Ovis aries: one gene and its partner. The protein of the gene in region 1 purifies or fractionates together with the protein of each later gene. This does not show direct contact. Links are inferred from orthologs where the notes say so. Each region holds a gene or a part of one and is shown in the gene's direction. Other genes may lie near its edges.

What was found. The genes of interacting proteins can lie anywhere in the genome.
Region 2: the proteins of SPAST (region 1) and NUP98 purify together in Homo sapiens (affinity purification with mass spectrometry; 3 studies listed by BioGRID and IntAct, counting the BioPlex papers as one, with this or other methods). This does not show direct contact. The link is inferred for Ovis aries from reciprocal best matches to the Homo sapiens genes SPAST and NUP98.

Annotation. Positions count from the first base shown.
Region 1 is NC_056056.1:91,794,448-91,798,747, reverse strand, and holds the start of SPAST (spastin), read left to right. Parts: upstream 1-1,500; 5' UTR 1,501-1,804; coding exon 1,805-2,213; exon of another isoform or gene 2,214-4,300. UniProt on the Homo sapiens protein: ATP-dependent microtubule severing protein that specifically recognizes and cuts microtubules that are polyglutamylated.
Region 2 is NC_056068.1:50,094,621-50,098,120, forward strand, and holds part of NUP98 (nuclear pore complex protein Nup98-Nup96), read left to right. Parts: intron 1-2,289; coding exon 2,290-2,472; intron 2,473-3,190; coding exon 3,191-3,347; intron 3,348-3,500. UniProt on the Homo sapiens protein: Plays a role in the nuclear pore complex (NPC) assembly and/or maintenance. NUP98 and NUP96 are involved in the bidirectional transport across the NPC. May anchor NUP153 and TPR to the NPC.

The DNA of each region.
Region 1 (4,300 bases):
TCCTATCTCAGTGTGTCTTCATGCAAGATTCCAGTTTCTAGGACAGTATGGGTAACCTGGGGCTTCCCTAGTGTTTTCCCTCTGCGACCTGGGAGGCGAGGTTCTGTGCTTGCAGCTCAGGATAATACTGGCGGCAGAGGTAGTTCTCCAAAGGAAAGGACGTCGAGCAGATTTTGAAAAACAGAAAAAAAAAAAAAAAGTCCAGTCTGGATTCCTGAGGAAGTATGGAATGACTACCATGCAAAACCTAAAAATTCCCTTATTGAAATTAATTCTTCAGATTAGACATCTAGTTAAATTCAGTTCAGTCGCTCAGTCGTGTCTGATTTTTTGACACCCCATGGACTGCAGCCGGGCCTCCCTGTCCATCACCAACTCCTGGAGCTCACTCAGAATCATGTCCATTGAGTCTGTGATGCCATCCAACCATCTCATCCTCTGTCGTTCCCTTCTCCTCCCGCCTTCCATCTTTCCCAGCACCAGGGTCTTTTCAAATGAGTTAGTTTTTGCATCAGGTGGCCAAAGTATTGGAGTTTCAGCTTCAGCATCAGTCATTCCAATTAACATTCAGGACTGATTTCCTTTAGGATGAACTGGTTGGCTCTCCTTACTGTCCAAAAGACTCTCAAGAGTCTTCAATACCACAGCTCAAAAGCATCAATTCTTCGGCGTTCAGCCTTCTTTATAAGTCCAACTCTCATATCCATACATGATTACTGGAAAACCATAGCTCTGACTAGAGGGACCTTTGTTGGCAAAGTAATGTCTCTGTTTTTAACATGCTGTCTGAAAGTGAAAGTGAAATCGCTCAGTTGTGTCCGACTCTTTGCGACCCCATGGACTGTAGCCTACTAGGCTCCTCCGTCCATAGGATTTTCCAGGCAAGAGTACTGGAATGGGTTGCCATTTTCGTCTCCAGGGGACCTTCCCGACCCAGGGATCGAACTCGGGTCTCCCGCATTGTAGGCAGACGTTTTTTACCGTCTGAGCCACCAGCGAAGCCCAATATGCTATGTTGGTCATAAATAAGTACCGATTTAATTAAACCTCTCGAATCGATTAGTTCATCCCAATGAACTAACATTTTCGTTTTCAGTGACCTGACGTTTTTGAGCGTCCTACAACCTCTATCTTCTTAGATAATATTTATTAGATTGGACCCATTACTTTTGCGGTGAAACTGAGATCAACCATTCCTTGTGGAAGACTGGCAGAAAATGCTGGAAGAAATATAAGAAAACGATGACACCGCAAGTCCTGCAAACTAGCCGAGGGACCCCAAGCTGCAGCGGTCCCTTTCTTGAATTGACGGTCTAGGTGCCCTGATAACGGGCTACTAGGGTCAGCGAAATCGATTGAGCTACGGGTCCCTAAGGGCCAAGTAGGCCGAACTGCATACTGGAAAACGTAGTTCCGCGAGCGAAGGGACGGAATGGCGAGCCGCGCACACGCGCACAAGGAGCTCAGGGCAACAAAGACGGCGACGTGCGCGCACGCGCCGGAGAAAGAGTCGGGAGGGCTGCGCTTGCGCTCCAGGCCGCCGCTCTGAGCTACCGAGCGGCCAAGAGGACAGAGAGAGGGAGGGGCAGGAGCCCCCGACCGCAGGAGGAGAAGGGGTTGTGCTCCTGCACGGGCGAGGAGAAAGGGGCGGGGCCGGCGAGCAGCGCGCGGAGGTGCACAGCTCCAGGGACCGGGGGCGCGCGGAGGTCTGTGGCCCTTGCCGTCCCAGTGGCCGCCGCCGTCGCTTGGCCGCCGTCGGTCTGCGGGAGGCGGGTTATGGCGGCGGCGGCAGTGGGAGCTGTGAATGAATTCTCCGGGTGGACGAGGGAAGAAGAAAGGCTCCGGCGGCCCCAGCAGCCCGGTGCCTCCCAGGCCTCCGCCCCCCTGCCTGGCCCGCTCCCGTCCCGCCCCCAAGCCGGCCCCTCCGCCCCAATCGCCGCATAAGCGGAACCTGTACTACTTCTCCTACCCGCTGTTCGTAGGCTTCGCGCTGCTGCGCCTGGTCGCCTTCCACCTGGGGCTCCTCTTCGTGTGGCTCTGCCAGCGCTTCTCCCGCGCCCTCATGGCCGCCAAGAGGAGCTCCGGGGCCGCGCCGGCCTCGGCGTCGCCCCCGGCACCGGTGCCAGGCGGGGAGGCCGAGCGCGTCCGAGCGTTCCACAAACAGGCCTTCGAGTACATCTCCGTCGCCCTGCGCATCGATGAGGACGAGAAAGGTAAATGGGGAGCTGGGGGGAGGGGGCGGCGGCGCCGGGAAGAAAGCGGTGCGGTCGCCGAGGGAGGGCAACACCTGCGTCCCTTTGCTGACGGAGCCAGCGGGCACCCCCGAAACTGATCTGCCCTGCGAGACCGCTTCCTCGGGGTTAGACCCTCATCCTTTATGAGTCTCAGCTGAAAAAGCTCTCCCCTTTCAGGAGCGCTAGCCGCTGACTTTGTTTCGGATACTAGCCGACACCTACATTTCTGTATGACCCGAGTCCCTGTGAGACTCCTAGGCGTGCTTGCTGACAGTGACAGTTGTCCTAGAGTGACCACACACATCCTTTCGAGCGCTGTGAACAGTGAGTGGCTTGCTCTGAGCCAGGTTTCCAAAAGGTTTTGATATCGAAGAAGCTGTTCCTTGTTACAGGGTTTTAGTGAAAGCAGAGTACTGTAGTGTCAGAAAAAGAGAACAAATGGTGACTTAATTTTGAAAGGAACAGCTGCATATAGATTACAGCTGAATTTGCACTATTTTTTAAGTTTCATGACAGTTATTTTTATCAGTATAATGACTTCTAAGTATTTTCGATAAAATTCTGTCTTAGTATAAAACTTTTGCCCATGGTTGATTTGATCTCATCTAAATGGATATTCCAAGTATTCCATTCAAAGTTTCTAAATTGAAATATTGAGTGAATAGGGTTAGTTTATACATACTGTTTTACAGTAAAATGTAAAGATTTCTGTTTCTGGATGAAAGCAAGGGTACCACGTTCTTCAGATTTCTTTTAAACTAACTTTTTTTTTTTTTTTTTTAGTCTTTTTATATGCCAGACACTATTTTCTTGGCTTTGCATGTGTAATCTGTTTAATCATCACAATTACCCCCTGAGGTGAAGATACTGTTGGGCTTCCTTGATAGCTCAGCTGGTAAAGAATCCGCCTGCAATGTGGGAGACGTGGGTTCGATCCCTGGGTTGGGAAGATCCCCTGGAGGAGGGAAAGGCTACCCACTCCAGTATTCTGGCCTGGAGAATTCCATGGACTGTATAGTCTACAGGGTCGCAGAGAGTCGGACATGACTGAGCGACTTTCACTCACTCGATGAGAAATTTTTATGGAAGATGATAAATGAAATTATAACATTTTGAAAATCCCTCCTGTGATCTCTAACTCCAGTTTGCAGAGATCTTTTCCCTCTAACTACTGATTTGCATTGTTCATTAGTATAAAAAAAAGCAATCTGCAGTTCACTAGTAGTGTCTCCACTACTAACTCCACAAACTGTTCTAGGTTTTCAGTTTGGTTGAAATCTGTTTCCTTTGTGGGGCCTTGGACGGGGAGTAGGATATAAGGAAGGAGGCAGGTATTCATGGGCTTGGAGTAAAAGGACAGAGAGGAGGCTTCAAAAAGTTGAAGAGAGGAGGCACATTTAAGAAAAGAATACTGTGTGGTTTTGGAGGGAAATTTTTTATTAATTACTTTATTTACCACCTTTAAGGAAGATCCAAGATCACCTGAGGAGGATGAAGAAGCATATACTATTATCCCTTTCTAGAGAAGGACTGTTTTATTGTACTATTTTATTATAATAGAGTCCTCTGAAGTTTACTAATCTAGGTCAAAAGTTGAAAAGAGGAATATATTTGAGGGTAGATCATTTGTTGTATTTGAAAAGGGAATGCCAGTACACACAAGGAAATTTTGTTAACACTGGGTGATGGGAGTTGGGTGGTAGCAAGAGACATCAACAAAAACTTAGGCTTAAAAAAAAGGTCCTAGATTCTTAAAATTAAAGAGAAATCAGTTCCATGTGAGGGGTAAGTGATGGAAGTGGAATTCAGACCTTGGATTTCATGCTGGTGATTTATCTTTGGGTATCACATATAGGCCTCTATTTTATTAAAGTCATCTTAAAATATTTACGCACAAATATTTTCAGCAATCTGTGTATCACATATTTCACTCTTTTTCAGCAGATAATGTTTCTATTCAATGGTTTTGCTTTATTTATACTTTAGTTTCTAAAGTGGACATCAGAATAGGCAATGATATCTCTCTAGTTTGAGTTCTACAACTGCTGCATTATATTCCAAAGGAA
Region 2 (3,500 bases), on another chromosome or scaffold:
GTCCTCATAGTTTAATAGTAATTCACTTCCCCATCCACTTATTAGATGATACTAATTTTGAAGTCAGTACATGAGGAGGAAGCAAATAAAACCTTGATTGCATAGCATTCTTAAAGATAGTCTTGAGTCCCTCAGTCTCCAGACTTTGATTAAATCCTACCAGTTTGCTTCTAAAAGTGTTCTAAATGAGCACCTCTTTTTGTTAGTCCTTTGTTGAATAGTACAGTAAATTGAAACTCTCCTCCTCCTCCCTTTCCTCTCATCTATACTTGCTCCTTATCCTTTCATAGTTACTAGCCTTTTCTCCTGTGTGGCAGGCACTGCATTAAATAACTAAATGTTGTGAATTTAACAATGTGGTTAGTATTAGATACAGAAAATAGTAGACTATGTCTGCGGAGAAGGCAATGGCACCCCACTCCAGTACTCTTGCTTGGAACATCCCATGGACGGAGGAGCCTAGAAGGCTGCAGTCCATGGAGTCGCTGAGGGTCAGACACGACTGAGTGACTTCACTTTCACTTTTATGCATTGGAGAAGGAAATGGCAACCCAGTCAGTGTTCTTGCCTGGAGAATCCCAGGGACGGGGGAGCCTGGTGGGCTGCCATCTATGGAGTCACACAGAGTCACACACAACTGAAGTGACTTAGCAGCAGCAGGCTATATCTGCTTTCAAGCATTTACAATCTGGTGGGACAAAAATAATATATACCTGAAATTATAATATACATTGTATAAGATAGGTATAGACAAGGTATTATGGGAGCCCAACAGAAAAGAGTATCCTGATGTTTTGACAGAGGATGGGGAGTGTTATAACTTTTCTTAAAAGTGAATTGGTTAAAAATGAACATACTGGGGGGGCATTGGAATGTTCTTCTAATTCCTCTAATTATAATGGTAGGATCACCACCAGGGCTTTTAAATTTTTTTTTTTTTTGGAATTTTAAAGCATCAAAGTAGCTTGCCTGTAGCCTCCCCAATAGGTTTAAATATATATATATATATATATAAAACTTTTGTCTTTTAACCATTTAGCCTTCAGTTTTGTTAGAGCAGTCTTTAGGGAATGTTCACAACATAAGTAACAATTCACTACATATCCAACACCTCAACATTTCTACAGCTATAGATGGCAGTAGTCATTCTCTTAGTAAGGATATTTGTTAAAGGAATTCACGGGAGTAAGAGGTAATATACTATTGAAAATAAAGTTTAAAAAGTTACACTAATGGTCATTTCTTGGTTCAAAGAAATCATGAAACTTTTTTTAACCACCTATTGTATAATTGGATCCATTTGAAGTCTACTGTGAAACAGGCCATTCATGAAAGACAAACCAGAAATTGTGGAAGGTTAGTAATCTACAGATGATATATTATGAAAGAAAAAAAGGTAGAACAACTTTTAGCTTTGAGAATGTGTCATAAATTAGCATAGCCATTTGTTAACATTTTATCAGATCATGTGGGAGTTTAGGACATATTTAATGTGAATTTGCACTGAGCCAATTTTACAGTATGTTTCAGCTCTCTGAATGTTTACCTTTTCAAACTGTTAATAGACTATTAATCATTACTGTATCTTTAAAACTCCCTAATAATTGTAAATCTAACTCTTGATACATTTAAACATATTTAAACCTGAAAGAATTATTCCCAGATTAAAATTGCTCCTAGTAGTACTTTGTTTTTTTTTCTTCTGGGAAACACGTTCTACATCTGATACAATATCCATGTGATACTGCATAGGTGGAGCTAACCTTAGGATTCAGTCTCCCAAAAAATAAATTCCAGGCCCCAAATTGTGTTTGTGATAACTAGAAATTTATTTCTAAATGCTTTTAAGAAAATGCAAAGGTACTAGAAACTTTGGTATTTGTGTCTTTTATTCTCTCTCCCCATGGCTTCTGGCTGCAAGGCACTGTGAGGTCATGGTAACTCTGTATAAATCAGAAAATTATGGTTGCTAACTAAATCAAGTAAGGCATAATCATAGTCTGAAGTTGACTGTTTTTTCAGTATGGGTGCTGGCTTAGGTCCAGGCTCCAGACCATAATATTATAAAAGGGTAATTCCATGAATCTTCATTTGGATCCCAAGTAATAATAGAGGAATTTTGGGGAAATTGTTCTTCAATACTCTAGCAAATATATTACTTCACATGATGATAGAATGGGCAGAATCTAATGTTATATCATATTTTGAATAAAGTAAATATGGTCTAGAAGCTCTATGTCTATCTGGTGTCATTTAATGCTGCTTCCCTGATCTTTCTGCTGTCTACAGAGCCAGAGCCCAGAGGTGGAGCAGTTAGGGAGGGTTGTGGAACTGGACAGTGACATGGTAGATATCACCCAGGAGCCAGTTTTGGATTCCATGTTAGAAGAGAGCGTGCCTGAGGATCAGGAACCCGTGTCCGCCTCAACACACATTGCATCTTCACTGGGAATTAATCCACATGTGTTACAGGTGAAGTCCTAACCCACCCTTATTATAAGAATCCAAACTAGTATTCATCTTCCTCTCTTAATACCAGGCCTTTTCTTTCATTAGTCCTTTAAGGGCATTGAACAGTCACTGGAATGAGAAAAAAACAGGAATATGGCCCATGTCAGGCATCATTTTGCCATTGGTGGAAGGAAGGCTATATTGAGATTCAGAAGACCTAGAGTCTAGGCCCAGTTTTGTAACTATTACAGTGTGACTTTGGGCAAGTCGTTTAACATCTGTGAGCACTGATTTTTCTCTATAAAATACTAACTTCATTTACAAAGAGGTTTTGAGGCTCTGGAAAGTGCTCCACAGAAGTGTTTTGTTTTGTTTTGTTTTTTAATTATAGTTACAGGTTTCTTTAAACTGTCTCAATTTCTCCTTGCTTATGCCTTTTGTCATTATATGAATTTAGCCTTTGGCTTATATTTGACTTTAAAATTAATTCATTCAGCAAATATGTAAGCTGCTGCTGTGTGCCAGCCTCTGGTGATACTATATACAAAGCACAGAAGTTTTATGTAACTTCTGTCCTTCAGGCACATACAGTATAACAGAGTTAGACACACAAATGTTGTACTAGCTCTGGACATGACCTGAGGCAGAGCTTTTTAATTGGTTGTTGTAAGCTGTGTTTTTCTTTTATGGCCTTTGGATTTGGGGGAGCACATTCATTCTATAGATATTGCTTTTTTAGATCATGAAAGCATCATTGCTTGCTGATGAAGAAGATGTAGATACAGTCTTGGATCAGCGCATCACTCACCTTCCTTCTAAAGCAGATACTTCTCAAGAAATATGTTCTCCCAGGCTCCCCATCTCAGCAACTCACTCATCAAAACCTCGTTCATTAGGTACTGTAAAAGATGCTCTTTTACAAGAAAGCTGTAAAGTCTGGCTTTTCACATTTCTTCTAAGCTGAGTCAACTTCTGTAGCAGACAACTCCAAACTATGATCAGTGGTGCAGACACAAAGTTGTATGGGAAAAAAAAAGCATTTGTGTTTT